4 linked regions of the Tamandua tetradactyla genome follow. Each later gene encodes a partner of the first gene's protein in a complex. Links are inferred from orthologs where the notes say so. Each region holds a gene or a part of one and is shown in the gene's direction. Other genes may lie near its edges.

Region 1 (7,565 bases):
GATATCTCATTGTGGTTTTGATTTGCATTTCTCTAATAGTCAGGGAAGTTAAGCATCTCTTCATGTGCCTTTTTGCCATTTGTATTTCCTCTTCTGAGAAGCGTCTGTTCAAGTCTTTTTCCCATTTTGTAATTGGGTTGGCTGTCTTTTTGTTGTTGAGTTGAACAATCTCTTTATAAATTCTGGATACTAGACCTTTTTCTGATATGTCATTTCCAAATATTGTCTCCCATTGTGCAGACTGTCTTTTTACTTTCTTGATGAAGTTCTTTGATGCACAAAAGTGTTTAATTTTGAGGAGTTCCCATTTATATATTTCTTTCTTCAATGCTCTTGTTTTGGGTGTAAAGTCTATAAAACCCCATCCAAGTATAAGATGTATAAGATATTTCCTTACATTTTCTTCTAACAGTTTTATGGTCTTAGACCTAATGTTTAGATCTTTGATCCATTTTGAGTTAACTTTTGTATAGGGTGTGTGAGATGGGTCCTCTTTCATTCTTTTGCATATGGATATCCAGTTCTCTAGGCACCATTTATTGAAGAGACTGTTCTGTCCCAGGCGAGTTGGCTTGACTGCCTTATCAAAGATCAATTGTCCATAGATGAGAGGGTCTATTTCTGAACACTCTATTTGATTCCATTGGTCAATATATCTATCTTTATGCCAGTACCATGCTGTTTTGATCACTGTAGCTTCATAATACACCTTGAAGTCAGGTACTGTGAGACCTCTGACTACATTTTTTTTCCTCAGGATATTTTTTAACTATTTGGGGGACCCTGCCCTTCCAGATAAATTTGGTTATTAGTTTTTATATTTCTGAAAAGTAAGTTTTTGGGATTTTAATTGGTATTGCATTGAATCTGTAAATCAATTTAGGTAAAATTGACATCTTAACTATATTTAGTCTTCCAATCCATGAACACGGTATGCCCTTCCATCTATTTAGGTCTTCTGTGATTTCTTTCAACAATTTCTTGTAGTTTTCTTTGTATAAGTCTTTTGTCTCTTTAGTTAAATTTATTCCTAAATATTTTATTCTTTTGGTTGCAATTGTAAATGGAATTCTTTTCTTGATTTCCCCCTCAGATTGTTCATTACTAGTGTATAGAAATACTACAGATTTTTGAGTATTGATCTTATAACCTACCACTTTGCTGTACTCATTTATTAGCTCTAGTAGTTTTGCTGAGGATTTTTCAGGGTTTTTGACATACAGTATCATATCATCTGCAAACAGTGAGAGTTTTACTTCTTCCTTTCCAATTTTGATGCCTTGCATTTCTTTTTCTTATCTAATTGCTCTGGCTAGAACTTCTAACACAATGTTGAATAACAGTAGTGATATTGGACATCCTTGTCTTGTTCCTGATCTTAGGGGGAACGTTTTCAGTTTTTCCTCATTGAGGATGATGTTAGCTGTGGGTTTTTCATATATTCCCTTTATCATGTTCTATCTTTCTTTAGTTTCTATTATTTTGAAGTCTTCCTGTGCTGGTTTGAGATGTTATGTACCCCAGAAAAGCCGTGTTCTTTAATCAGTCTTGTCGGAGAAGACCTGTTATGGGTGGGGCCTTTTGATTAGATTATTTCCATGGAGGTGTGACCCTGCCCCTGCATTCAACATAGATCTCAAGTAGTTCACTGGAGTCCTTAAAAGAGCCAACACAGAGAACAGAGAGGTGAAACCAGACAGGACATTTGAAGATGCTTAGAGATGGAAGTCCAGAGAGGAGACCTCTAGAACCCTGAGCTGAAAGCAATGAAATCAGGAGCAAAGGGCCAGCAGGTGTTGCCATGTGCCGTCCCATGTGACTGAGAAACCCCTGACGCGATTGGCCTTTCTTGAGTGAAGGTATCCTCCTGTTGATGCCTTAATTTGGATATGTTTATTGCCTTAGAATGATAGCTTGTAACTTAATAAATCCCCTTTATGAAAGCCAATCCATTTCTGGTATATTGCATTCTGGTAGCATTAGCAAACCAAAACACTCCTCTACCCCACTCCTTTTATTTCCATGCCATGAATTTGTCAGAGAAATGGGTCATTTCTTCAATAGAACATCCCTCATTTTGTTTTTGTTTTTAATTTTTTATTTATTAAAAAAATTAACAACAAAAACATTAACATATCATTCCATTCTACATATATAATCAGTAATTCTTAATATCATCACATAGTTGTATATGCATCGATTTAGAAAAAGAAATATAAAGACAACAGAAAAAGAAATAAAACGATAACAGAAAAAAAAAAGATTATACATACCACACCCCTTACCCCTCGCTTTCATTTATCACTAGCATTTCAAACTAAATTTATTTTAACATTTGTTCCCCCTATTATTTTTTTATTTTTTATTAATTAAAAAAAATTACAAGAAACAAACATTCCCAACACATACACTCAGCAGTTCACAATATCATCACATAGTTGCATATTCATCATCATGATCATTTCCCAGACCTCATTTTTTGACATGGTGGTTGGCTTATTCCTTTATCTTCTGTGTTTCCTGTAAACTAGTAATTAAAGCTAGAGCTTTGATTCGATCCAGGTTCATTCTTTTAGGAAGAATCCTCCACAGGCAGTGCTGTGCATTTCCTGTTGTATCATATATCATAGTGCTACTATGTGGTGGGTGCTATGTACTTTACAAACATTATATATGCTGGGGGGTATTTAGTTTTTATTTCATTCCCATAAACTTTACAATCCAGCTCGACTTAGAGGACGATAAGGAAAAAAGTTAAATCCAAAGAATTGCAGCAAAGAAGATCACAATATTGTAGGATTGGAGAGTTGGGGGCGCTGTCCCCAGTGGCAGAAGGCATGGTTGGGGATAAGAGTCAATTCCTCAAAATCAAATCTACGAGAAGGCCCAGAGTCTTGCTGATCTTGCAGTTCCTGGATGCAGAGCTCCCAAAGCTTCCACAGCGTTCAGGCTGCCTCTCTCCTTGCCAGAGAGCGCACGCTTGCCCTCCAGGCTCAACTGCGCAGACGCAAACTGGGAACCGTTCAGGTTGGGTCCAGCATTTGCCCCAGACGAGATGCCAAGATGCCTATTCTTCAGAGGGAAGTTCTCATCCAATGCTAGGCCGGGAAGACCTATTCCCAGGACAGCCGGTCCTGGCACACAAACCGAGAAGCAGGACTCACAGCCAAGTCCCACGTCCCGCTGCTCCGGAGCTGGCGTGCGCCACTTGGGAGTACCGCCTGCCGACAGGCCGAGGGCGTGCTTCTGTTCGGGGCGATGGGACGTCTTGGTCATCTGGTAATGATCGCGGTGGCGGCGGCACAACATGTGGAAGTGATCACCCCCGCTGTGCTGCCCACTTGAAAGTGTCAAGGTGGGACATTTTATGCTGTATATATGTTATCACAATAAAAACATTTTCTCAAATAGAGGGCTACGACTAACTACCTCAGAGTGCCCTGTGGGTGGCCTGGGTCTGGGTCTGGGTCTGCCCATGCCGCGGCCGCGGCTCCAAATAACGGACCCTGCAGAGGCCACGGGGATCTGAGTTCAGCTTCTCAGCAGCCTCATGAGGCATGTAATGTTCTATTTCTGCTCTCACAGATGGGGAGACCCAGGCTCCGAGGCCCAGCCGGGACCCGCACGTTGGTCTCCCTGCCTTGCTCTGCAGGTGCCGCGCTCCCGGGGTCCTGGGATGAGCTCTGACCGCGGTTTCTGTCGGATTGGGAAGGTCTGGGGGTGGACAGAGGGCCCTTCCCCAGTCCCCCGCCCCCTGCGCAGGCCCTCAGTGCAGCGGCAGGCGCAGGTGTGTTGTGTCTCGTCTCCCTCCCTGAACACCTCCTCCTCTTGCCTCTTCTCTTTAGCCAGGTGACTTAGCATGAGCCCAGGCTGGTCCTCGAAGAAAGGAGGTGAGCCAAGGACCACCCGCCCACAGGCAGGAGACGAGTCTGGTCCTCACTCCCCTTCCCAGGAGCCCTGCCCACTTCCCTCCCTCAGTGTGTGGTTGTAGAGTAAAAGAGTGAAGTTAGATCACTTCGCCATCACACACACGCGCACACAGAGTCGGCCCATCATCATTAGTGAACAGGGGATTCAAATTAAAACCACAGTCACGTGGGGACACGGGTTCAGTCCCCGGTCCATGCACCCAAACCACGGCACGTGGTCATCCTGTGTGAGCTGGGGCGCGGGCTCCATGCCACTGGGGCTCTCGGCCTCGGGGGTGGGGCACAAACTCACGCAGCCGCTGAGGAAGACCCCTTGTCAGCGCTCCTTCAGCAAACACCCCCTTCGTAGCCAGGAACGCGCTTGTGAGCGGAGGGCCTTCTGTCTGCACTGGAGGCCGTGCGGGAGAACTCAACGCCATGGCGTTCTCAGGGCTGCAAACAGAGCCAGGCGCCCATCGGCAGAGGAACGGCGAGGACCCATCATGAGGTCCGCCCTGGCAGAGGAAAGGACTGAAGGACATCTACAACTGGACGCGCACAGAGATGGAGGCGGCGCCTGCATGGGCGAAACGGCCCGTGGTGGCGCAGTGCAGGAGTGAATCTCTGCAGGGGCGATCACTGGCTGTGTCGCGCGACACAGCAACACCTGCCAGGGCGCTGGGGCTGCTCTCTCTCGATCTGGGTGGCACTTACACGCATAACTGAAAATCGGAGCCGCACACTTACAACCTGTGGACTTTATTGTAGGTGAGTTTCACCCCGACTAAAAACAGGTGTGTGTGTACACAGAGAGCACGCACAGGGACTTGGGCCCCGTGGGAACTGAGCTGCGTGTGGGAGCCCCTGTCCCCACACCCCTCCGAGACCCCCAGATGGTGTGTCTGCAGGCCAGACGCAGAGGCCAGGCCCAAAGGCAGGCACAGCAAGAACCTGCCTTCCTTCTGTCCTGCTCTTTGTCCCTCTGTCCTAGTTAGACGCAGGACTAATATTTACCTTGCACACTGCAAACAGGAAGTGGGGGCGGGCTGGGGAGCAGCTGGGCATGTGGCCCATCGAGGCCTGGCAGGGGCCCCACCGCGGACCCTCAGGGGTGGGTGGCCCTGTGCCGGGTGGGCAGCAGGTCCCGGGAAGTGAGCGACACTAGGCCGCTGACGCCTCCCAGCCCATGACACACAGCCGCACTTCTGAGGCACCCGGAGCGGGAGGGGCAGGCCCGGGCCGTCTGTGCTGAGAGGCCACGCTGGTGCTGACTGTCCCTGTGTCCCGGGGAGCGGCAGGTGGATGCCCCGTCACACCGTCACCCTGCTCCCACTTCCTCACCTCTGCGCCCCCCGCCGGTCTGCAAACCCCTCCCAGCTGTCAGGCACTCATGCCATGTGGTCTCCTTTGGTCCTCGCACCAAAGTGCTGACCATGCCTGTTGGGCAGATGGGGAAACTGCGGCACACAGAGACTAAGGAGCACCACTGGCTGCTGGCCCTGGGAGCCTCAGCACCATCGTCTGACCCTGGCCCCGTTCCTGCAGCCACGGGCGGGAGGCTGAGGGCGCTGGTCGCACCACCCTTTCCTCTGACTCCTTCCTGCACGTCCATCCCTGGTTCCAGGCCCTCGGGCTGCACAGCGGACGTCCCTCTGCTCGTCCCCACGGCCCTGACCGCTGACCTCTCCCTCTGGGCCGATTTCTTCACATTAGTTCACCATTAACCCAGAGGCATCAGCACGCGCCGCAGAGTCCCGAGTAGACCCACCATGGCGCTTGCCCGCGGCCTGGCCCTGGCCACCCTGCTCAGCCTCGTGCCCGGCCAGCGCGGTGAGGGGGCTGGGGTCCGGGCAGGCGGGGGCTGCGCCCTGGGCCGGGGTCCCCACGTGGGACGGGGGACACAGGTGCCCCCCAGCTGGTTCTCGGCCCAGGGTACCCAGCTCAGGAGCTGGGGGGTCGGGGGGGTCGGGGGCTGGGGGTCGGGGGGCAGGGGGTCGGGGGGCAGGGACTCAGGGCTGGGGGCTGGGGGTTGGTGGGCCGGGGGCTGGGGGCCTCCACGCTGCGCCCCAGCCGCTTCCCGCGGGCCATGTGGGGAATGTGGGTGACTGTTGGGGTGGGGAGGGGCCCATGAGCTGAGCCTGGCAGCCTTCCTGGCTCTGCTGCCCACTGGGGAGGCCCACAGGGCAGGCGGGCTTCCACCCTGCCACCTGCCGCCGGGCACCATGCTCCCCGAGGCTGTGCCCGCCACCTCCCTGGGACCATGCCCATCCCCCACCGGGCCATGCACACCCGCCCCCCCAGAAACATGCCTGCCCATCCCCCTGGGGACCATTCCCTCCCCTCCACCCGGGGCCATGCCCTCCCGTCCCCCGAGGCCATGCCCGCCGCCTCCTCCACAGTGTTCCTGGAGCGCCAGCACGCGCTCTCGCTGCTCCCACGCGCCCGCCGGGCCAACAGTGGCTTCCTGGAGGAGCTGCGCAGGGGCAGCCTGGAGCGGGAGTGCATGGAGGAGCAGTGCAGCCGCGAGGAGGCCTTCGAGGCCCTGGAGTCCGCCAGCGCCACGGTGAGGGTGGAGGAGGGGCGGCCAGGGACCCCGGAGCGCGCCCAGCCCCGCACCCGCCTAGGCGCTCAGGGCCGGCGTGGGTGGAACCGTGCACATGCGCACTCCGCGCCGGGGCCGCCTCTGCCCTGGCCACGCGCAGCCTCAGCCGGGCTGCACCGAGGTCCCCGGGCTGATGGGGCCATAACAACGGCGGGGCCTTCCTGTCCCCAGCCACCGCCCGCACGGCCTGCGCCCTGGCCCTGCCCGTGTGGCTGCTCCTGTGCCACCTTTGCGGTGTGGGGCTCTGGGCCCCTGGCCTCTGCAGCCTTCCTTCCCGACCCCGGCAGGACCCGGCCCAGGGTCCCCGCCCTCCCTCACCTGCCGACTCCAGTGGGGGATCCCTTGGCAGGAGTGGCTGGAGGTCAGGGGTTCCCTCTCTTGCCCTCCCCTCCATGAGGAGACAGAAGTAGGAAACTTGGCCACAAACCTCCCCACAGCCTGAGCCCTGGTGTCTGGTAAAGGGACAGGAACATGAGGAGACATAAGTTTACTGCAAGCGAACACAAGGGCCCTGGTGGAGCCTCACCCTAGCCCTTACTTTTCAGGATGCATTCTGGGCCAAGTACACAGGTGGGTGCTGCGAGCGAGCCCCAGAGGGGAGAGACTCTTCTGATTCATCTGTCCGTCATTCATCCATCCATCTGTCCGCCTGTTTCTCAGCGTCACCTCACCCAACTTTACTCCACCCCATCCTGCCCCTACCCCAACCCCAGAGACGTGTCTGGCTCTTTTCCAGCTTGTAACACGGTGAGAAAGCCTCGGGAGAAGCTCGTTGAGTGTCTGGAAGGTGAGGAACAGTTGTCGGGGCGGGGCGGACAGCACGTGAGGGGGGCGCGAACCCCAGGGAGCTAGGCCTGTGCTGGGGCGAGGCACAGATAGGCGGGCTGGGTGCGCCCAGGTGGGCGGCCTCTACCACCGACACTGACCTTCTGTCCCTGTGGCCGAGGGTCAGCGGCTGCCCACTGCAGAGAACCAGTGTAGGCTCCCAGCCTGGCAAGCTGGCCCGTTGGAGGCCGCCCCCTCCTTCAGCCTCCCTTCCTCTGCACCTGTCCAAG
Region 2 (7,356 bases), on another chromosome or scaffold:
AGCTGGATTTAAGGAATTTAAGGAATAACCCAGGGGTCTATTACAGAGTTAACACTTCAAAATATTAAAATGTACAGCGTGCAACAAAAGATTGCAAAACAAGCAAAGAAACAAAAAATGATGGCGCATCCAAAGGAACAAGATAAAAATCCAGAAACCACAACAGTGAGGACCAGACTTGGACTTACTGGCCAGAAACTTCAAAATAATGAAGCGCAATATACTCAAAAAGAAAAGAAAAACATGGAGGAAGAACAAACGGATACAAGGCAAGAAGGTGTGTGGTACAAAATATTTAAAGTACTGAAAGAAAACAATTGTCAAACAAGAATTTTGTATCTGGCAAGACTTTCTTTAAAAAATGAGGAAGAGATGATGATGAATATGCAATGAAGTGATGATATTGTGAATTACTGATTATATATGTAGAACGGTATGAGCATATCTTAAGAATGCTTGTGTCTTTTTCTTGTAATTTTTTTAATTAAAAAGAAATTCAAAAACAAAAAAGAAACAAAGGTATAGGTAACCATATGGGTAATTATAAATTCCAGTAGTATTGTATCATATTGTTTGTTATATAACTCCACTTCTTGCTTCCTACAGGTGCAAAATGTAAATGCACTAAAAGAATGATAAATCAATTATTGGAAATCAATGTACGAAGACAAAATCTGTAACAAATGCAAGAAAAAGTAGGGAGAGTGGATGGGTATTGAAACAGTGTATCTGTATGCTATTGAAGATAAGTCAGTATCAAATAAAATATGATTGTTACAGACTTAGGATGTTAAATTTTAACACATGTACCACAAAGAAAATACATGAAAATTATATTCAGAAAGAAATCAGAAGGGACTCAAAATAATACAATACAAAAAGTCAAATAAATACGGTAGTAGGCATTAACAGAAGAATTGAGTTTAAAAAAAAAAAGGCGTAAGACATGCAAATACAAAATAGCAAAATGCCAAAGGAAAGTCCTGTATTATCAAATTACCTTAAATATAAATGGATTAAACTCCCCAGTCAAAAGACAGAGATTAGCAGAATGGTTGAAAAAGCATGACACAATATACTGTTTACAAGAGATTCACCGTAAATTCAAAAACATAAGTAGGTTGAAAGTAAAAGGACAGAAAAAAAATGCACCATGCAAGTAGTAAGAGACAGAGAGCTGGGAAAACAACCCTACTGTCAGATAAAATAGACATTTTTTTTCCTTTTTTTTTTATTATGGGAAACTAAGCAAGCTGCTGTAGAGTCTGATTTTCCAAAGAAAATGCTTGCAATGATTGAACTTTAAAACATCTTTGAGTCCCCTTCAGCTTACTAGTTTTTAAATAAATCTGGTAAAAAAAAGAACGGATGAAAGTGGAACAGTTTTTCCCTGGGGGGGGGGGGGTGAATAAGTAGAGCCCAGTATGAGTATGACTCCCTCTAACAGCAGCCCTCCCCACTTTTCTAAGAATAACATCAACAGGAAGGTGAGGCTGAGCTAATCACTCAGCCATTGCCCCTTTCTAGATAGAAAACCCATTTGGTGGTGCATGGGCTCTCTGCAAGTGGAGCGCTTTTCTCTCTTAAAATAGATGTTAAGACAAAAACTATTAAAGGGAGAAAAGGGGTCACTACATACTGATAAAAGGGTCAGTTCAACAAGAAGACAAAACAATTATAAATATAGGAACACCTAACAGAGGAGCCCAAAAATGTATAAAGCAAATTTTGGCAGATATGGGGGAGAAATGGACAGTTCATTATTAATAGGAAATTTCAGTACACTCCTTTCGATAATGGATAGCATATCTATACAGAAGAGCAATGAGGAAACAGAAGAATTGAGATTCTAAACCAGCTAGAGCTGACAGATATGCATAGGACGTGTCACCTAGCAGCAGCAGAACACACATTTTTTCCTAGTGCACGTGGATTGTTCTTCAGGATAAACTGTATATTAGGTCACAAGTCTTGATAAATTCAGAAATACTGAAATCATAGAGTGTATCTTCTCCAATGGAATGAGACTAGAAATCAATAACAGAGGAAGAAATAGAAATTGTCTTGAAGGAGATGAAAATGAAGATACAGCATACCAAAAATTGTGGAAAGCAGCAAAGGCAGCGCTGAGAGGGTATTTTATAGCGCTAAATGCTTACATTAAATTAGAAGAAAGGTCTCAAAGTGGAGCCCTTACCTCCAAACTAGAAGATCTAGAAAAAGAATAACAAACTTAACAAAAAGTGAGCAGAGGGAAGGAAATAGCAAGAATAGAGCAGGAAAAAAATGAAATAAAGATTATTTTTTTAAAAAGCAATACAAAGAATTAATGAAACCATAAATTGGTTCTTTGAAAAGATTAATTAAATTAACAAATCCTTACCTAGACTGACAAAGTAAAAAAGGACACAAATAACTCAAATCAGAAATGAAAGGGGGCATTACTGCCAATTTCACAGGAATAAAAAGGACTATAAGAGAATATTATGAATAACTGTACACCAACAAATTGGATAACCAGATGAAATGGACAATTTCCTAGAAACACACAAACAACCAACATTGATTCAATAAGAAATAAAGAAGTAAAGAAATTGAATCAGTAATCAAAAACCTCCCAACAGAGTGATGCAAAATATATATAATATTCCATGGTGTATATATATATATATATCTCCCATTTTGTTTATGGGTGGCTTCCATCTTTTGACAATGGTGAATAATGCCACTAGGCACGTCAGCATTCAAATGCCTGTTCAAGTTCCTGCTTTCAAATCTTCTGAAGTGGGATTGCCAGGTCATTCGGTAGTTTTATACTTAGCTTTCTGAGGAACCGCCATATGTATTCCTTGTTTTTATATTATATACTGCATTTCATTGAGTCTAAGATACCCTTTCTTGATAGTAACACAACCCTAAAATTGGAATGTTTGTTCTTACAATCAATATGTCAGTTTAATTGGCAGCATTTTTCCTTCCTGTGGTACATAAATTTAAAATGAATATTAAAATCAATAGCATTTTAAGAAAGATGAAAATGTTATACGTTAATAGGGAGTGGATGATGGATCATTTTAATGGTTCACATCTACTTTTGGATATGTTTACCTAAGAAAATTGAGCTGGGAGAGGTTTAAGTAACGTTATTTCGTTGACTAATTCAGTTTAGTAACGTAACAGGTGCTTCCCTAAAAGGAAAGCCTTGGAAGCCTGAGCTGGGACCCCCTTCCCTCGTGGCCTGGAAGAGCCGCCCGGCAGAGGGGCTCGCAGCCAAGCCCCGGCCGCGTCTCCTGCCGCCCGCCTCGCCCAGCGTCCGCAGACGGCCGCGCCAGACCCGGGCCTTGAATGCGACCAAACTCTACAAACTCTTGTGATTCTGCCCTAGGAAGAACGAGGAACGCCTTTAGAGTGCCCAGACCACTTCGCCCTCTGGGCACCGCTGCCCAGGAGACTTCTGTCACTGCCCCGGGCGCAGAGACTATACACCCCGGTCCCGCCCCACCCAGAGAGGTCCCTCTCCCGTCCCAAGACCCGCGAGTGAGTCTAGCGCCCGGCCCGAGGGCTGGCCTTAGGGGCAGACGCACGCAAAGTCAAATTTTGCGAAATAAAGAGAAACGAATAAAGAATATCAACCACTCCGCCAAACCTTAAAAGCCCCTTCTCCTTAAAAGGCAACCCTTTCGCTACAGTGTAAACTTTTTAATTCATTATCTTTAAGTTTCAAAAACAAAACTGACTTTCAAACTTCTGCTGAATACCAAAACTGGGTCACTGTTCTGGGCTTGAGGTCCGGCCCTCTGCGTGAAGCACAGTGCGGGATGCAGGGGGGTCTGACCCGGGGGTGGGTCGCAGGGGTGTCTGCCGGGGATGGGCGCATCCTTGACCAAATGTTCACAGTTATCTTTGCAACCCAGGAGGGGGATAAAAGGCCGAGGAGCGGCCACCGAGATCACATGGTCCCGTTCCCAAGACCCCGCCAGGCTGAGTCACCCGGAGCTTCCAAAGGAAAAAATAGGTAGTTTGAAATCCCCGCTGGCGCGGCGGGCTGCTGGGGTCCCGGGCCCACCCGGCTGGAGGACGGCGCTCGCGGGGGAGGGCCTGGGGGAGGAGCCGGCGGGGGGAGGCCGAGGGCCGCGTCCGGGCGCCCACTGGGCGATGGGGACCCGCCCCCGGCCGCGCGCCCCTCTCCCCGCGCCCCTGCGCCGCCTGCGGACCCCGCCCCGGGGGGAGGCGCCCCGAACCTCCGCCTCCTGCGGCCGACAGCGATGCGCGACCCGCCCCGCAGCCGCGGAAGGAAGGGGTGGGGGCGAGCCGGAGCCCCGGGGGCGGGTCCAGCCTCCCGGAGCCGCGCGGGCAGCGCAGAGCGCGCGGAGCCTCGGGACAATGGGGCCGCGGCGGCTGCTGCTCGTGGCCACCGGCCTGAGTCTGTGCGGGGCCCTGCTGGCCGCCCGCACCCGCCACGCAGGTGAGCCGTCGGGGTCCTCCGGGTGCCACCGGGGCCCGGCTGCCCCGAGCCCGCGCGGGGGCGGGGGCGGGAGGAGGGGGCGGAGGATTGCGCCCCCGCCGCGGTTCCCCCCAGAAGCCGATCGAGAGCGTAGGCTGAGACCCGCAGCCGGCGACCGCATCTGCGGGGGCGTGCCCACCCCTCCGCGCCTCCAGCGGCGTCCGGCCGGCCTCAGGTGGCGGAGGCGGGGGCGGCCCGGCTGGGGCTGCGGGAGCCGGCGGGCCCCGCGGCGTCGGTCATGGTGTGGCGGGTTTCCCCGTTCGCCCGCGGACCCCCGCGCCCCCCCAGACAAAGCGTCTCCTGTTGCGTCTCTCCCCCGCGCCCCCCACGAAGTGGCGTGCCGGCCCGCGGGAGTCCTGTTGGTGGGAAGTTTGCGGCTTGCCCATTTGACGGCGAGGAAAGGGGTGCGTGGAGAGCCCCGCTGAGTAGGGAAGGAGGACCTGCGGCCCCTGATGGCCGGGCTGCGGGCTGGGGAAGGTCCTGCTTGTCACCGAAAAGCCATTTCTTCCGAGTTGAGGCAAAGGGGCCGCTGCTCCCCAGAACCGGTCTCCCAGGAGTCCTGGACCCAGTGTCTGACCTGCTCCGAGTTGCCCGGTCTGTTTTACCGCACAGGACCGGACGTCCCACCGCTGGTGCTTCTAAGTGTCCGGCTGCCTAGCAAATAGATGAATGTATTTCCCCCCAGACTCCCTGGGAAGGGCAGAGACGTGTTCATGGCGTCAACGCACTGCTTGGAAAGTGAGGAAACATTTTTGACTCCTTTGATAACCGTAGTACTTTATAAGCTTTTTGCCATTTTTTCAGCTTGGATCAAATTCCAAATCTGGTTTTCTTGTTGTCCACGAAAGCGTGTGCTTAATAGTGTCTCTTACAAAAAAAATGTTATTTTTTGTACAAAAAAAAGTTTAGTCCCATCTGGATGAAGAGGGAAAAGGCATAGCGTTTTCTCTGCTCTCCATGTTGGCTTCTGGGAGATGCTTTCCGGAAAAATAAGTCTGGGGCCAGAGTGTACCAGCAGCCAGGCTACGTGTGCATATCCAGGACCCTTCCTCTGCCAATGTTTGGGGGAATGCAGAGAACTGAGAAACTATTTGTGGTGACACAGAATTTCAGATACTACTTGGTAACTTGCCCGACTTTATTTCGGGACATGCTTTTGAGAATACAAATGTTTGCTTGACTTTTGCATGTGGGGGTGGAGAACTACTTTACCCAAATGCTGCATCTGCTTGAGGCCCCTTTTCTCCCAGTGGCTGCCCAGGATCCTTTTTGTCCTCAGGAAGTGAGGTTAAGGACTCCCGGTTCCTGCCACAGGTCTCATAACACTAGTGTAGCTAGACACAAGGACAGACATACAGCTGAACAAACACTGTCTAATTTATCTCTCCTGGATTATGTGACCACTTTGGTGGGGGAAAGAAGATAGGAGGCTGAGACAAGAAAAGGAGCACACGTACATTAAGCGTTGTATTTCCTGGGCCGTGAGACATTTTCACTTAGGTTATCTCACTTCTCCCTCTGGAGATCCCGTTAAGATGGATGTTATCCCCTTTTGCCAACAGTGAAACCAAGGCCGGGGGCGTGATGGGGGGGTACAGCACACCAAGTACTACCGGACTCTCAGTGCCCTGTACCCTGGGTGCAAGCACTAAGCAATGCTTTGTCTTTAAAGAGTTCTAAGTCACTAATATACCACGTGGAGATACAAGTACTTCTCCCAGGGCGGCTCCCACCAGTCCACGTCCCCTCCCCCACCTTGCTGAGCCTTGCCCTGGATGGGCAGCTGTACCCTGCACCAACTGGGCTGAGACACCCCCCTCAGGAAGCCCCCTGGGGCCAGCCCCCCTTCCACGTGAGCATCCCCGCAGCACTCATACTCTGCTCCCCCTCGGTTGGGCAGCCCTGGCCTTGTCGCTTTGGGGGTACCGCATCTCCCCAGCCAAGTTGTACCCGTTTATTTTTTACAGAGTCTGCAACACGTATGTTCACTCAGCACATGTTTATTGAGAAATTCGCTAGTTCATTAACCAGTCTACAGTCCTTTGTCGAGGCTAATTTGGACGTGGTGACCTGCCTTCATCAAAGAGGGCCGGTGTCTCCAGGAGGGACAAGAGGTGTCTGTACATTTCATAAAGACTGGGGGGCCCGGGGACTGGCTTGCGGCCCACCCCGAGGACTGGGCCCTGCCCTGGCAGGCGCCTGCGTCAGAGGGGGTGGAACTCTGAAAAGCAGGGGTTTGGGGAGAAACCAGAGTGACCAATATAAAGAGAAATTTGAAAGGGTCAAGGCAGCCTCTGCGTGGATGGGAGGGCAGCTGGTGGTGAAGGAGGCCGGCAGCAGGGGGCCGTCCATTAGCCCATGTGGGCAACTCAGATGTCACAGGGTGGGATTTCACAGTGGTAGAGAGGCAGACTGGTGCTAGAGTGAAAGCTCCACGAAGGCAAGAGATTGTGCTGACTTTCGTCTCACTGTTGTATTCATACCCTCTAGAACAGTGCCTGGGAGACTTAAAATATTTCTTGATGACTCACTAAGGAATGATTAAGATGTGGTCGGAGAAATTTCATTTCTTAAAATGAATTCAAGACTGAAGACATCCCATCCCAGGATACTGAATGTTCAGATGTGGATGTGACAGGGCAATTGATTATTTGTGAGAACTCTGGGAGAATGGCAGTCTTCCCCAAGACTAGAGATGAGCAAGCATCCTGATGTTCAAAGGTGGTAAAGCAGTAAGTTGCAGAAAGCACAGCTGGAGGAGCTTGTTAGTGACCCCTTTTGCATTTTTAGAATAAATTAAACCACAAAAAAAGCAGTGATACAGGTAGTTCACTTAGATACATGAATACCGA
Region 3 (6,993 bases), on another chromosome or scaffold:
AAGTAATGGGTTAATCTCATCTTTCCAAAAGTTATTTCATCTCAAACTGACTTGGGAGTGTGTATTTCCTATAGCTGCTATAGTACATTTCACCAATTTAGGGGAGTAAAACAATGCAAATTTATTCTCTTTCAGTTCTGGAAGCCAGCAGTCTAAAACAGGTTTACTGAATCTGAAACCAAGGTGTCAACAGGTCTGTGTTTGTCCTAGGGAACCAAGGGGAGAATTTGTTTCCTTGCCTTCTCCAGCTTCTAGAGGCCACCTGCATTCCTTGGCTTGTGGTCCCATATCATACTTATCTTTTCCCCTGCTGCTTCTACTGCAACATAGCCTCTTCTTCCTTTGACTTTCTTGACTCCCTTCAGGAAGAACCCTTATAATTACACTTAGGACCCACTCAGATAACCCAGTATAATCTTTGCATCTCAAGATTCTTAACTTAATCACATTTGCAAAGTCTCTTTTGTCATATAAAGTACATTCACAGGTTCCAGAACTTAAGGGATTGTTCTAGTTTGCTATCTGCTGGAATGTGATATACCAGAAATAAAATGGTTTTTAAAGGGAGAAATTTATTAAGTTGCAGGTTTACAGTTCTAAAGCCATGAAAATGTCCAAATTAAAGCAAGGCTATAAAAATGTCCAAATTAGGGCATCAAAAATAGGTAACCTTCACTCAAGAAAGGCCTAGAAAGTTCAGGGCTTCTTTCTCAACTGTAACATTCCCAAAAACCTTGTGGGCTTCTCATGCATGCTGTGGAGATCCATGAGATTAGACAAGGGATCCTCCACAGATCTTTCCTGGATAATGCCACCGCTATTTTTGGTTTCTGTTGAGTTGTTTGAGATGATCTATGAGTCATAGCCTAGTTACAGAGCCCTCTGTGGGAATTGCTTACTCTGATCTTTTGATCCTGCATAGGCGCTATGCAAAATGTTGTCCATCCACACACTCGGCTTTCTCTGCAGAGCACGCTTTCCTGACAGTGAATCTCCTAATTTTCGTATTTTTTGCAATCTGCATAGGCTGATAATTTCCCAAGTCATCCAGATCTGATTCCTTTTTGCTTAACAATTCTTCCCTCAATTTGTCTCTTTCCTCTCACATTTTACTAGAAGCAGCAAGAGGAAACTAGGATGCACCTTCAGTGCTTTGCTTGCAGATCTGCTCAGTTAAATATCCAAGTTCATGCCTCACACATTCCGCTTCCCCCATAACTATAGAATACAATTCAGCTAAGCTTTCTGCCACTATATGACAGGATCCCCCATCTTCCAGTTTTAATAATGTATTCCTTATTTCCTTCTGAGCCCTCCTCATCAGACCTTCTAATGTTCATTTTTCTATCAACAATCTGTAATGACAATTTTGTTATTCTTTTAAGATGATATCATGACCTTAAAAGATATCATGATCTCTTCCATGACCCTCACTCCTTCTGATCCCTAAAGAACAGCACCTGTAAAATATTTCTACCAACAGTCTATTAAGGATTATTTAGTTACTTTCTAAAATGACATAGATTTCTTCTACCTTGCTTCTCACTTCCTTCTGAGTCTCCACTCACAGAAATTTTAACGTCCATATTTCTAGCCTCAATATTCTTTAAGCCTCTATCCATTACCCAATTCCAAAGCCACTTCCACATTTGTAGGTATTTCCTACAGCAACAGCTGGCTTCTGATCTTAAAATCTGTATCAGTTTCTAATAGCTGCTACATAAGCTACTGTGGGTTTAGTGGCTTAATTTATTTTCCCGTAATTCTGGAGGTCAAAAGTTGAGAAGCATTCCACTGACTGAAATGAAGGCATTGGCAGGGCTATGTTCTTTCTGGAGGCTATAAGGGACAACCTGGCCCTCATTTTGCTAGCTTCTAGAGGCTGCCAGCATTCTTTGGCTAATAACCTCATTATATCACCTTTTCTCCCTTACCTTCTGTCATTACATCACTTTCTCCTGACTCTGATCTTCCATCCCTCTCTTACAAGGATCCTTGTAATTACATTTAGGACCCACCTTGATAAACCAGGATTATCTTCATAGTTCTAGACCCTTAATTTATTCACATCGTTATCATCTCTTTTGTCATATAAGGTAACATTCACAGATTTTGGGCTTTAGGAAGTGGATCTCTTTGGGAGGCCATTATACAGCTTATGACAAGTGTGAAACAACAATTTCCATCCTATAGGACATTGTGATGGTTAAGCGTATGTGTCAACATGGCTAGTTATGGTGTCTAGTTGTTTGGTCAAGTGAGCAGCAGCCAGATTATTACTGTGATGACATTTCATGGACTTAAATCATGGGTCAGTTGATTGCATTTATGGCTCATTACTTGTACAATCAACAAAGGTGATTGCCTTCAGGAACGTGAGAAATCTCAACCAAGCAGCTGAAGTCTCAAGAGAGAACTGATGATTTCTGCAGTCAGAATGAAGAATTTCTATGTCAACTTCAACTACCAGATTCTTCTGGAGAATTTTTTAAAACCTTCGTTGGAGTTTCCAATTGCCTGCCCTATGGAATTTGGACTTGTCAATCCCAACAGTCACTTGAGGCGACTCCTATAATAAATCTTATAATATTTACATAATATATATCTATAATAACTTCTTGTCAGTTCTGTTTCCTGTAGGACTCTGACTAATGCAAACATTGATTAGGAACCTCTATTTAATAAGATAAAGGACTGTTTGTTAAAAGAGTCCTTTGTTGGAAAGTGAAAAACCTAGACATTGATGTGTGACACTAATGTGTGACTTTAGGCATATTCCCTAACCTCTCTCTGTTTCAATTAATTCAATGAGGATGATAATTGTATCTACCTCCCAGTACTTTGAGAGGACACTGAGTGCAAAATAAGGACCCACTGTTTAAGAATGACTGTGTTTGTCTCTAAATTGAAGCTGAGCTCAGTGCCTCCTTGTAGGCTTGTTGCATGGACTAAAAGAGATAATGTATATAAAGCATTTAGCTTAATGTGTATTCCATCTTAGGGTCTCAATAAATATGATTCTTATCATTCCTGGGAAAATTCAAAGATTCCCTAAACCAGACCCAAAAATTATGTAGAAGAAAAGGAACAGACCCAAAAATTACGTAGAAGGAAAGGAACAGTGATTGTGGAGTGACCTGGTTTGCTGGACATCAAGATTGCTTCCTCTGGGTAATACTGCTTTTTCCCCTTGCCATTTTCACATCCCAGCAGCACCCACACAGGTTTCCTGGATCATGGCCCCAGACAGTGCACAAAGGCGGTAGGAAGTTCTAGGCATGGGACCTCTGGAAATATAAGAAAGATTTGCGCCAATATCCTGCACTAATGTCTTGGAAATACTCCCCGAAGTATAAGGCCGATTTAGGAATCCTCAAGTGCAAGATGAAAAATGACAGTCCAACCGAACCCAAAGAAATCCCAGATTCAGTCCTTTTCTAAGTAAAGAGCAGTGTCAGAGTCACCGACCCTGGCATTAATCATCACCCAGCCCCACCCTTGGTATATGACTTTCAAAAGTCCCTTCATCTTCTGAGTCTCAATTCCATTGTGGAACAAGGAAATGATGCAATGATCACTTCAATTCAGCCATTCTGAGGCTCTCTCAATCCATTTAATTTAGACCAAAATCTGACTGTTATGGTCTGGGAGTCCAGGAAGCACAGGAAACCTGCAGCCAGCTTGGGCTCAAGCCCCCACTCCACTGGATCTACAACAAATCAGCTACAGGGAGCGAAAGAATGGAACCTAGTGAAAGTGAGAGTTTGCCGGATGGTGTCCCTTTCTTTGACTCTGGAATGCCAGCAATTGGTAGCTTTTTAAGCCATGTGTCCCGGGAGGGCCCTTGCCATTGCAGGCAAACAGTGTCCAGTGTGGGGATTGCAGAGCTGTGAGCCACTGGCCTGGGCGGCCTTGTCCAGCTCTTTCCTCTTGGCTGGAGGCCTGAAAGGGCTCACCAGGGCAGGCCAAGGCGGGGCCAGGGGAGGGGTGGAGCAGAGCCTGCCGCCATCAGCCACAAATACTAGCTCTAGCCTGCCAGCCCTCTGCTCTTGACCCAGCCTGCCGGACCGCTGCCTCGATTGCCTGCCACGCCTTGCCACGGGACACCGTAAGTACAGACACGTGGAGTGCAGAAAAGAGGTTTTATGGGCTTGAAAAACATGCATGGAAGGGTAAGGAAAGGACCCTAGAATTATGGGATTTGGAAGTATCCAAGGGTGAAGAAAGCCAGAGTGGGAAGAGCCCTCTGTTATGGTGGGGATCGAGCCCAACTTCCAGGCAGCAGAGGTGGACACCCACTAGCTGTGTGATCTTGGACACGATACTAAAACTGGGTGAGGCTCAGTTTTCTCAGCAGTAAGATGGAAATAATTATCCCCTGTGCATGGTGTGACCTGAAGACTAAATAAGGCAAGTCGTCCTCACCTGGACTGGTGTTACCCTCAGGGAACATTTGGCATGTCTGGAAACAATTTTTGGTTGTCACAACTGGGGGTTGGGGGGCTTACTGCCGGCATCCAGCAGGTGGGGGCTGGGAGAGGCTGCTCAAAGGACCCTCCAGCGCACAGGACAGCGCCCACTACAGAGAATGATCTGGCTCAAAATGTCAACAGTGCTGAGGTTGAGAAACCTTGAGATAAGGTCGTGGGGACAAAATATCTGGCAGACTGGAGGTGCTCAATAATGACAACTTCCATTGGTTTTTGTGCCTGGGGTTCTCAACCCTTAGAAGTCAGGGATAATTGTGAAACTTAATCTGCTGCCCTGAGATAAGACCACGCAGCTCTGTCCTGGAGGCTGCCCCTCAGCAGGGTTGCAGTGGCTCCTCAGGGGCTCAGGATGCTGTCAGGACGTTTGCTAAATAAACAAAACTTAGACATAAATCATTGGAGTTTTCACTTTTTTTTTTTTTTTACTCTAGAGCCCTTGGCAAGCAATGACACAATAAAAGGAGACCCCTTCTCTCCCCCTGACCCCCACTAGGGGACCAGCATCCTCATGTGCAGTACAGGAATTCAGAGTTGGCTTCAGGGAGGGATTACTCGAAATCCCTGGAAATTGAACCCCTGGGCCAGGGAGACGCCCTACGGGAGCCTAGCCTGGTTCTGCTGCCCTCCGTAGTGCCCAATGAGTGGTCTCACACCAAGGAGTTACAGAGTCAGGGACTGGGTTTCATTCACTCACTCACCCACGCATTTGTTCATTCATTCCACAAGGCTATACAGAGCACGTTTCCTAGACTGAGGAAGGCTCAGGGCTCAGAGCAGCACAGACAAGGGCCCTCCCTGCAGTGACCACATATTCTAGTCAGGGAAGGGCCCAGAGAAAATGAAGCCAAGCAGACCCCCAGGGATGAGCCTGGCCCTGGCACTGCGGGATCAACAATGCCTTCCTGACCAAAAGGGCGAGGAGAAGTATAACAAAATAAGGTATCAGTGGGTGAGAATGTTCAAAAAGAGTCGAGATGCTATTCTGGAGGCTATTCTTACTCAAGCTTCAGCTAAATATTGCTATTTATCATGGTTTGTCAAATCCCAATCAATACCATTCCTGCCAATCTTAAAGAGCACCTTTGTAGAACATCTGAGAGTCTACAAAGTTTCCATGCACTATGATTACTTTCCAGAAAACAACTTCCAGATGTTTCCTAGGCCAGATAAGTCCTGAAACCCAGAGGGGCCAGCCTCTCCAGAACATCAACTAGTTCCATCCCCCTATCCCATATTATCAAAAAAAAGTTAGAATAGGCATAACCCCAATACTCCTAAAGGTTGGGAGAAAGATCAAAGGAGAGGGTGGAATTATAACAGAGAAGATAGGATTTAACAAAAGAGTATGACTGCTGAATCATTATATTGATGTTTCTTTTAGTCTCCAGTGTCTTGGAGCAGCCAGAAGGAAAAACTTAAAATTGTGGAATTGTAACCCATACCAAACTTTGAAATCTGTTCTATAACTAATTGTTGTGGTGTGCTTTGAAATTTATACCTTTTTTGTTTATATGTTATTTTTCACAATAAAAAAAGGAAGCCAAGCAGTGCATATGTAACTGCATAGTTCTAAGTGATGGAACTATGGGAGAAACACTGAAGGGCTGGGGTGGAGAATAACAGTGGAGGGAAGGGAGTCAAACTAGCTTTGACAGGGCATCACAGAGAAGTATTTAAGCAGAGACCTGAAGCCTCTATTGTGAATCTGGCCATGGTCAGAGATTTCCTGTAGAGAGAATGGGATGTGTAAAGGCCCAGGGGCAGGATAGAGAATGCTTAAGGAATTGAGAAAAGATAAAGTGGGCCTAGGCAGAGTGAGTAGGGGGAAGCAGGTGGAGGTGAGGCTGGCAAGAGCCAGGTAGAACCAGGTCACATAGGGGCTAGCATATTTTAACACAAGGCAAATTTCCTTTTATGTGAAAACCTTGGGGTAGCAATGGTGTTCGTAAGTAACCTGTGCTCTGAGCAGGTTCATGTTCAAAGGAGATCCCTTGAAATGCTGTTTGCAGAATTGCTTGCTGGGGCAAGAGGGCAAGCTACTGTGGTGGTTCAGGTAAAAGATGAAGAGAATTTCTTTAGGATGATGACAGGGAACATGGAAAGAGCCAAGCAGATTTAAGACATATTTTAGAGATGGAAATTGACAAGCCTTGTTGATGGGCTGGAAATGGAGAAAGAGGGTAAGAAAGTTTCCCAAGGTCACTTTTTCCACAAAGCTCTGTTTCTGGGTCTCTAGAATCCAGTGGAAAGTAAAACTTTGTCATTCCCTCTCTGCCTGGGCTGCAAGTCCTACACCCCATATTGTAATCGGCAGATATTGGACAGGCCGTCCTCAGCTACACACGTCCCACCATTGAGTCCAAAGTGGGACTTTGTTGTCAGACCTTTGTAATAAAAGCCTACAGATCTGAGTGCATGGATGATGGGGAATCAGCGGGAAAACATGCCCACCCCTTCCCCCCTACCCCACCCTCCACCCCATCTCCTGCCACACATCAAGTCA
Region 4 (6,896 bases), on another chromosome or scaffold:
CAGCACCTATTGTTTTTTTGGGAAATGAAAGGAGAGGAGCCACAGTGTGGTTCAAAGGAGTCAGTATCACAATGATCCTCAGAACCTGGGGTTCTCTATCTTATCTGACCAAACACATGTAGAAAAGAATACCCAGCCCAGCACTCAGTAATGTCTTTTCTCTGAAGCGCTTGGTGAAAAGCAGTGAGGACAATGGTTAAGTGCAAATTGATGCTCTGGTTTAATCTGTTTTAGAAACTGGAGAAAGAGGAAATTGGATTTATTTGAAAGCCAACTTTAATAGGAAAGAAAAAGGCAAATGCCTTTTTAAAGCTAAAATAAAATAATAATAATAATAAAAATAAAAACTACACCAAAGCAATAGTCCCAGAAACTAATTTTTTAGGTGAACTGTTTAACCAGTCTCTTTCCCCCTGGTTGAAACAATCTTACGTAACAGCCTGTACATTTATAATGTTGTGTAACAAGTAATGTGATGATATAATAATAAGTTTTAAATAGGGGTTAGATAGGAGATGAGCAACTGCTATCATCTTATTATCATAACATCAGTCATTCTTCCAGACAAAACACCATCACCCATTGGGAGTTAAGGACAGTTTTTACTTAAATACAAGGTCATATTGTCTGGGTGCATGGAAGAACCGTGGGGGCAGGGTGGGGGGATTCTCTTCCTCTAAGGCACTCAACGCTGGCCCTCTTCCAAGAGAGGAAACAAGACTAAATAGATCATTTGTTTTATTCTGTTTAGGCATTTCTTGTGTTTCTCCCAACTGCAGCTTATGAACACAAAGCCAAACTCAGAGCCTGGCTGAAGCTGGCTAAATGCCAGGCTACATTTTTTTTTTTTTTAAGGAATAAACAATTTGAAGCTCTCTCTGAAGATTAAGACAGGCCAAGCAGTTGAAGGACAAAATGAAATTCTGCTGTGAAGGTGAAGTTGCAAAGACAGAGCCAGGTAGGAGTGTTAAATGATTTGGATTTCTCAAATAGGACTGAGATAGAGATAGGAGGGAAATGCCAGTTGGAAGTTCAAAGCCATGAAAAATACATTTCAACAAGGATATAACATTATAGGAAGAACCTGCTGCCTATGAGCACCCAATTGGGGTTAGAGGACAGATTCTTTGGGGCAGCCCCACAAAGATTGGGGTCAAAGTTGCTGGTCACTTGACGCCATCAGGTCAAGAGTGTAGCTTCAGCTATTGCTTCTGTCTCCTCTGGCTGGCCTAGGGAGAGCCAGCCAACACCAGCCTTGCCCTCCCCATAATAAGCATAGTTGGTATTCCCAGCATATCCCACTGGCAGAATGGGTCTTTGTCTTCAGTCAGTTCCCTCTGGGAGACACTCATCGGCAGTCCTATCCACTGTCCAAGCAGAGAGAAAGGAGCATTGGTGGTTGGGTTTAGTTCTGTGTCTTAGTTAACACTGCATCCTGTCTGATTTCAGAATTGACAAGTCATGTAGAATATTGCTCAAAATGTTCCTTCAAAAATACTGGGGAGAACAGGGAAGTGAATGGCAGTCCTTAAAATGTAAACAAAAGGGATAAGTTCTGAAGACTTCTGAATGTATTTTATAGATGAAGAATCCAGGTTTTAATTATGCTCTAACTGTAAAAATAAAGCTTTCCCCCCCAAAACACCGAGTCAATGAAAGGCAAGAGACTGAAACCCTATAAAACAAAATTAGGTACATTGCTTTCAAAAACTAATTTGACTTTACAATAACTTTACTAAAAATTAAAAATTACAAATAATTACCAAAAGTAATTGAGATATTAATCAATGTATCAAGGTTAATATCCTGATTGTGACGTGTAATTGTTTTGCAAAATGTTACCTTTGAGGAAAACTGGGCAAAGTATACAATACACTCTGTATTATTTCTTCCTAAAATTATCTCAGCTAAAAATATGTCAATGTTGGAGTGCGCGGGTAGTTCAGTAGTAGAATGCCATGCAGGAGACCAGGGTTCAATTCCAGGCCCATGCACCCCCCCCCCCTCAAAAAAAAGTGACTCAGATAGAACTGGATACAGGGAATCAGGCAGGTTTTCACAATCTGGTTTCACCCACATTTCCCAATCGCAGTTTGTTTCCCCACTAATTCCCTGAATGACCAACCCACCTCTGCATGGGGAAAAGGCTACCTATAGCTTCCCAAATACACAGTGCTCACCCCCACCTCTGACCTTTTCTTCCCCAGCTCTCCCCACCCCATCTCCTCTGAATATTTCCCAGCTCCACTCAACTGCCCTACCTGACTACACCAGGCCTCAGCACTGTAGCTGAAGCAGCACTTATAGCTCATCATAACTTGGCATTTGTCCATCCATTGGTCAAAAATATTTGTTGAGCAGCTGATAGATGTGTAGTATGGCTTTTGGCACTAGGGAAGGGGTGAGTTGGGAACAGCATTGAACAGGTTTCTCTTCCCTGCCCTCTGGGAGACTCTATTCTAACCACAGAGCATAGAAGAAAAGCAACCAAGAGATGAGCTAAAAATAATAAAGGAATTTCAAATATGATGAGGGCCACGAAAAAAGTGGTAAGTTGGAAAGGGGAGGAAATGAATTTAGTTCAAGTGGTCAGAAAAGGCTTCCCTGAAGAGATGACATTTGAGTTGTGACCTCAAGGATGAAAAGGTGTTACTGAGAAGATACTGGGAACAAGAAAAGGCCGAGGGCACGAGGAAAATGGATGTTATGTGCTGCTCCGTAACTGAATATGCATATTAGGCATCATGTAAAATGATGAAACCAATTTTCCTTTGTGACTTGTGTATCCTTCTTATTTTAAGCTCAAACCTCCATAGCTCATTTCTCTATTCTTTAGGGGCTGTGAACTCCCTTAGACTGGCCCACGGTTGAGACTTTTAGAAGCAAATCGCCACCCCCCCACTCCCCGCCCATCCCCACGCAGACACCCACCACACTGTCTAGCACGGCTGCCTACCGTAGTAAATGCAAATCGATCGTCCAAGTTGCTCTATTAGTAGATCCAACCTTAATTCAAGGCTGTGTCCCAAGGAGATTTACCACGACTCTTTTCATGGTTTCGGGGCCTTCTGCACTCATGAACTCAGGGAAACCTCAGTCATGTCATTAAAGTTGGGTTTCCACAAACCTAACCTGGCGCAAAGAGGAACTGAGCGAGTTGGGGGTAAGAGAGCCGGAGCTGGACGGTAACTCGTCGCCGGCCTCTGAGGTCGGCATGTCTCGGCGGCGCACAGAGTCCCACCAGGTGCATTACCGGGAGGTAAAGGTTGGATTCCGAGGGTTCTGCAGATACCTCATGCTGTCACCCGCTTCTAGGAATCGAGCTTTCTGGATTCCCTTGTCTGCTATCTGCTTACGGAGTCCCCCGAGAGCCTCCGCGAGGTGGAGAAGTCGGCTCTGGGGCACCCTGCGAAGCACCGAGACGGCCGCCCTGTACCCCTCCGGCCGCGCCCTGGCACCGTTATCCACGCCAGCCGGGGCCGGAGGGCACTGTTCCGGGGCGTCTCCCTGGTTCTCCCAAGGGGTAGCCAAGACAATATGCCGTGGGTCCCAGGGACGCGCCACAAACCCTCATCTCCCCCCGACCCACCCCGCCGCCGACCCAGGCGACCCACGTGCAGCTCGACCCCGGCAGGCGCCACACGTCGGGGTCGGTTCTTCTCCCCGGCGCTTTCCGGGCACAACCCCACGACCGGGACCCGCAGCGGTGCCTTGCGGGAGGCCGCGGCCGGCGCGGGGACGTCCTCGGAGCCCCGGCGCGGGGGCGCTGCGGGCCGCTGGCACACAAAGGAGGCGGCGGGAAGGCGGGGCGGGGCGGGCCAGAGGCGGAGTCGCGGCCGGGGGCGGGGGCGGCAGGAAGGGGCGGGGGCCGGCGCGGCGGCGGCGATAAAGCCCCCGAGCCGCAGCCGGCCAGTTCAAGCGGCGCAGGGCTGCACGGAGCTGCGTGCGTCTGGAGGCGCCACCGCCTCTTTCATTCCCGGACACTCGTCGCTGCCGCCGCTCTCCGTCCTCCGACTCCGACTCCGACTCCGGCTCCGGCCGCGCCACTCTCCTGGCCGCCACCTGGGGATCCTGGGCGGTGAGTACGGGCTGCGCGCCCCGCCACTCCCGCGGACGATCCCGGGCGCCCGGGGGGCGGAGGGGCGCGGTCGGCGGTGCCCTTTGCTCTGGGGTCTGTCCCCTGGGCTCTGTGCGCCGCCGGCTCCGCGCCGCGACCTTGCGTCGGGCCCCGAGGCTGCAGGGCGAGAGGGGCCGGAAGGTACTGACGTCGAAGCGGAGGGAACTTTCTCAGCCTCCCTCTGCCAAGGCTGGGTGCCGCCGCGCTGGGATCCCCGAGTAGAAACCCGGCAGGGCGAGGAGGGGCCGCGCCAGCTTTGGCGTCCAGGTGTGCCCGCAGCTGGGAGTCCTGGAGCCGGCGGGGAAAGACCCCGAGCCCGGCTCTTCTCTGTCTCCATCCTAGCTGGCGCCCCTGACCCTGAAACTGAGGGACCCAGGTACTCGCGGGCGTCCCCTACCCGGTGCACTTGGCGTGTGCGCAGCTGGATGGGGAAAGACAAATGGGCTCTTATAGGTTACCTCCCCCTGAACGGGGTGGGGGTCACCAGCGGCTTGGGGGAGAGCCCTTAAACTGATCCCTTTCAAGCGATTTAAGCCTGTTGAGTAGGTCTTTGCTTTTTTCACCTGTAGCAATGGGGATTGCAGTGCTGCTCAGTGATTACAGGTAAGGTGAAAGTATTCGGAGATTGTGGGCAGAATTAGGTGTTTAATTTGCCTACAAACCGAGCAGGGAGGGAGGGCTTCTATTACATAAGACAACACTGCACCTCCAGTTATTATGGAAGATGCTATTGAAGGTTTTGGTTTCTTAAATAAAGAAAAATAATCTTTACGTGTAGGTCTTGAAGCCACTTAAATGCTGCTGTGGCTTGTTTTGACTACTTTGAAGAGAGCCTTCTTATGTTTAGCATCGACATAAAAAGGTGTTTAAAGGTTTGACTTCCTCTTTCAAGTCGGGAAGCAGTTTACTTCTCCGAAAACTGTTCTGGAACAATTAATGTGATAATTTTGTACTTCGGAGATTTTATAAGAAAAGTTGAGCACAGATAATTGGAAGACATGTACGTGTTGCTAATTTGTATAGCTAAAGCTCACTTCAAAAAATTGAAGGTAGTTTAAACGTTATCTGCATATCTGAATCACTAATTGTGTGCTATGTGCAGTATTTGAGCAAAAATTTCCTACAGCTATGCAAAGGAAGGTGTTAGCCTAAATGATCTAAGGTTTCTTTCAACCCCCCAGCTTTTATGATTCTTTATTAAAATAGTGTTTGAAAATGTTGTAGGGTACAGAGCTGAAGGTTATGAGGATGTCATTCATTTTCTATTCTTAAAAAAAAAAAAGAAGAAGAATCCATGAAGAAAATGTCTCCCTCCTGTCAATTTCACATCATAGTGTAACTTCAAAGGATAAAAATTTAGTCTCCAAACGGGGTTAATTTCCAGTTCCACACGTGGATGATTAGCTACTAGTTAGAGATTGTTTTGAGGCAGTAGAATTGGAAATGATGGTGCTCTAGCCAGCCTCTGTGTTGACATCCTCTGCCAGCCCATCATTCTCCCATTGGACAGGGTACTTTGGCTCATGGGCTTTCTCCTTTCCTCCAGTCCCAAAGTCCATCTGGGTGATGATACTCTGAATTCTCATTTCCTTGACCATCTCAAATCCGGTGACTTCCAAGTACTCCATAGTATTTAGTCCACTAACTACCTCCAGGTCTCACCCTTGCCCAGAGATGCTCAGCTTCTGAAATTGGGAAGTCCACTGTCTCCATCTCTCAGAATCACAGCCTGTTATGCCTCTAGGTCGCAGACTCATACTCCCGTTGTAACTCTTCTGCCATGCACGAGAGTTCCAATCCCTTCCCTCCGTGTTTCGCAGGTGACTTCCTGGCCCACTCTACCGAGAAAAATAAAAGCCACCATATGGAAGCCTCTCCATGCCCCAACCTCTGTCCCCCATTCCCAACCTACAAACTTTGCTGTGTCTACTCAGTCATTCAGTAACTGTTCTTAAGTGTCTCCTGTGTGCCAGGCACTTTGCTGGGCCCTGATATACAGTAAATATAGCAGGTCCCTGCTTTCTTGGAACTGTTATTCTTGTGGGAGGAAATAAAGCAAATATAAATATATTATAAAATGGAGAATTAAACAATGACAGAAGTAAAATCAAGTTGGGGTGAGGAACTTCGAGAAAGTTAGAGAAAGCCTCCCTGAGATGTCTCCAGCTGTGTCCCGAGTCCCCATGCTTCCTTCTCTTCAGGAATCCTGCTCTCCTCTCTGTTTTATCTCTACTTCCTGCTGCTGAACTGTTTTCATTTTTGCAATATTTTAAAAATGCCTTAAACTCCCTTGACCCTGCATCCTCCTACCTCATCTCTAGTTATCACCATATCTCCCCATGCTTCTTAAATTTCTTACCCCCTTCCTTACCCTGCCCTTCATTCTCTGCTCCCTGCAAGCTGGAGGAGACCCTGGCAATTTCCTGAGCAAGTGATCTTGTGGCTTCTCCTCGAGACCTCTCCGTGGCATCTTCCCTAGTTGTCATCTTTTCCTGGTTTTCTTCCTGCCTCACTAGCATCTCTGCTCTCTCCTGGGGTTACCCAGAACTCTGTCCTCACCCCTCTTCTCACTCCACATAGAGCCTTTGGGTGAACTTCATTGCCACAGCTTCAGCTCTCTCCAGTGCAAAGGGAGTCCCAAATCGGTATCTCCAGCTGAGAGATCCTCCTGTGTTACCTACAGTCTAGTGGACTTACCCGTATCCTTTAGGCAAAAGAAAACACAAAGTATAGTAAGTCCAAAACTGATTCTAGTTTTCACTGTCCCCTTTCCCCTCGG

What was found.
Region 2: the proteins of F2 (region 1) and F2R are in contact, whole or in part, in a crystal structure (PDB 3LU9), measured with the Homo sapiens proteins. The link is inferred for Tamandua tetradactyla from reciprocal best matches to the Homo sapiens genes F2 and F2R. Residues at the interface, in NP_000497.1 of Homo sapiens: Phe382, Arg383, Pro386, Gln387, Glu388, Leu389, Leu390, Cys391, His406, Cys407, Tyr410, Trp413, Lys415, Leu423, Arg425, Arg431, Thr432, Arg433, Tyr434, Ile441, Met443, Glu457, Asn458, Leu459, Asn506, Thr510, Lys517, Gly518, Gln519, Arg541; in NP_001983.2 of Homo sapiens: Ala33, Thr34, Asn35, Thr37, Leu38, Asp39, Pro40, Arg41, Ser42, Phe43, Leu44, Leu45, Arg46, Asn47, Pro48, Asp50, Lys51, Tyr52, Glu53, Pro54, Phe55, Trp56.
Region 3: the proteins of F2 (region 1) and SERPINA5 are in contact, whole or in part, in a crystal structure (PDB 3B9F), measured with the Homo sapiens proteins. The link is inferred for Tamandua tetradactyla from reciprocal best matches to the Homo sapiens genes F2 and SERPINA5. Residues at the interface, in NP_000497.1 of Homo sapiens: Arg383, Pro386, Glu388, Leu389, Leu390, Cys391, His406, Cys407, Tyr410, Pro412, Trp413, Asp414, Lys415, Trp455, Glu457, Asn458, Leu459, Asn506, Arg541, Ile542, Asp562, Ala563, Cys564, Glu565, Gly566, Asp567, Val588, Ser589, Trp590, Gly591; in NP_000615.3 of Homo sapiens: Gln241, Lys295, Lys296, Arg297, Thr368, Ile369, Phe370, Thr371, Phe372, Arg373, Ser374, Ala375, Arg376, Leu377, Asn378.
Region 4: the proteins of F2 (region 1) and SERPINE2 are in contact, whole or in part, in a crystal structure (PDB 4DY7), measured with the Homo sapiens proteins. The link is inferred for Tamandua tetradactyla from reciprocal best matches to the Homo sapiens genes F2 and SERPINE2. Residues at the interface, in NP_000497.1 of Homo sapiens: His406, Tyr410, Pro412, Trp413, Trp455, Arg456, Glu457, Asn458, Leu459, Glu509, Thr510, Ile542, Asp562, Ala563, Cys564, Glu565, Trp590, Gly591, Glu592, Gly593, Cys594; in NP_006207.1 of Homo sapiens: Val225, Arg288, Ser355, Ala356, Thr358, Thr359, Ala360, Leu362, Ile363, Ala364, Arg365, Ser366, Ser367.

Annotation. Positions count from the first base shown.
Region 1 is NC_135334.1:123,427,181-123,434,745, forward strand, and holds the start of F2 (prothrombin), read left to right. Parts: upstream 1-4,551; 5' UTR 4,552-4,676; intron 4,677-5,523; exon of another isoform or gene 5,524-5,532; 5' UTR 5,533-5,677; coding exon 5,678-5,738; intron 5,739-6,307; coding exon 6,308-6,471; intron 6,472-7,055; coding exon 7,056-7,080; intron 7,081-7,246; coding exon 7,247-7,297; intron 7,298-7,565. UniProt on the Homo sapiens protein: Thrombin, which cleaves bonds after Arg and Lys, converts fibrinogen to fibrin and activates factors V, VII, VIII, XIII, and, in complex with thrombomodulin, protein C. Functions in blood homeostasis, inflammation and wound healing.
Region 2 is NC_135347.1:55,543,338-55,550,693, reverse strand, and holds the start of F2R (proteinase-activated receptor 1), read left to right. Parts: upstream 1-4,354; 5' UTR 4,355-4,383; coding exon 4,384-4,465; intron 4,466-7,356. UniProt on the Homo sapiens protein: High affinity receptor that binds the activated thrombin, leading to calcium release from intracellular stores.
Region 3 is NC_135338.1:55,677,794-55,684,786, forward strand, and holds the start of SERPINA5 (plasma serine protease inhibitor), read left to right. Parts: upstream 1-3,975; 5' UTR 3,976-4,108; intron 4,109-6,993. UniProt on the Homo sapiens protein: Heparin-dependent serine protease inhibitor acting in body fluids and secretions. Inactivates serine proteases by binding irreversibly to their serine activation site. Involved in the regulation of intravascular and extravascular proteolytic activities.
Region 4 is NC_135329.1:199,776,823-199,783,718, reverse strand, and holds the start of SERPINE2 (glia-derived nexin), read left to right. Parts: upstream 1-3,882; 5' UTR 3,883-4,078; intron 4,079-6,896. UniProt on the Homo sapiens protein: Serine protease inhibitor with activity toward thrombin, trypsin, and urokinase. Promotes neurite extension by inhibiting thrombin. Binds heparin.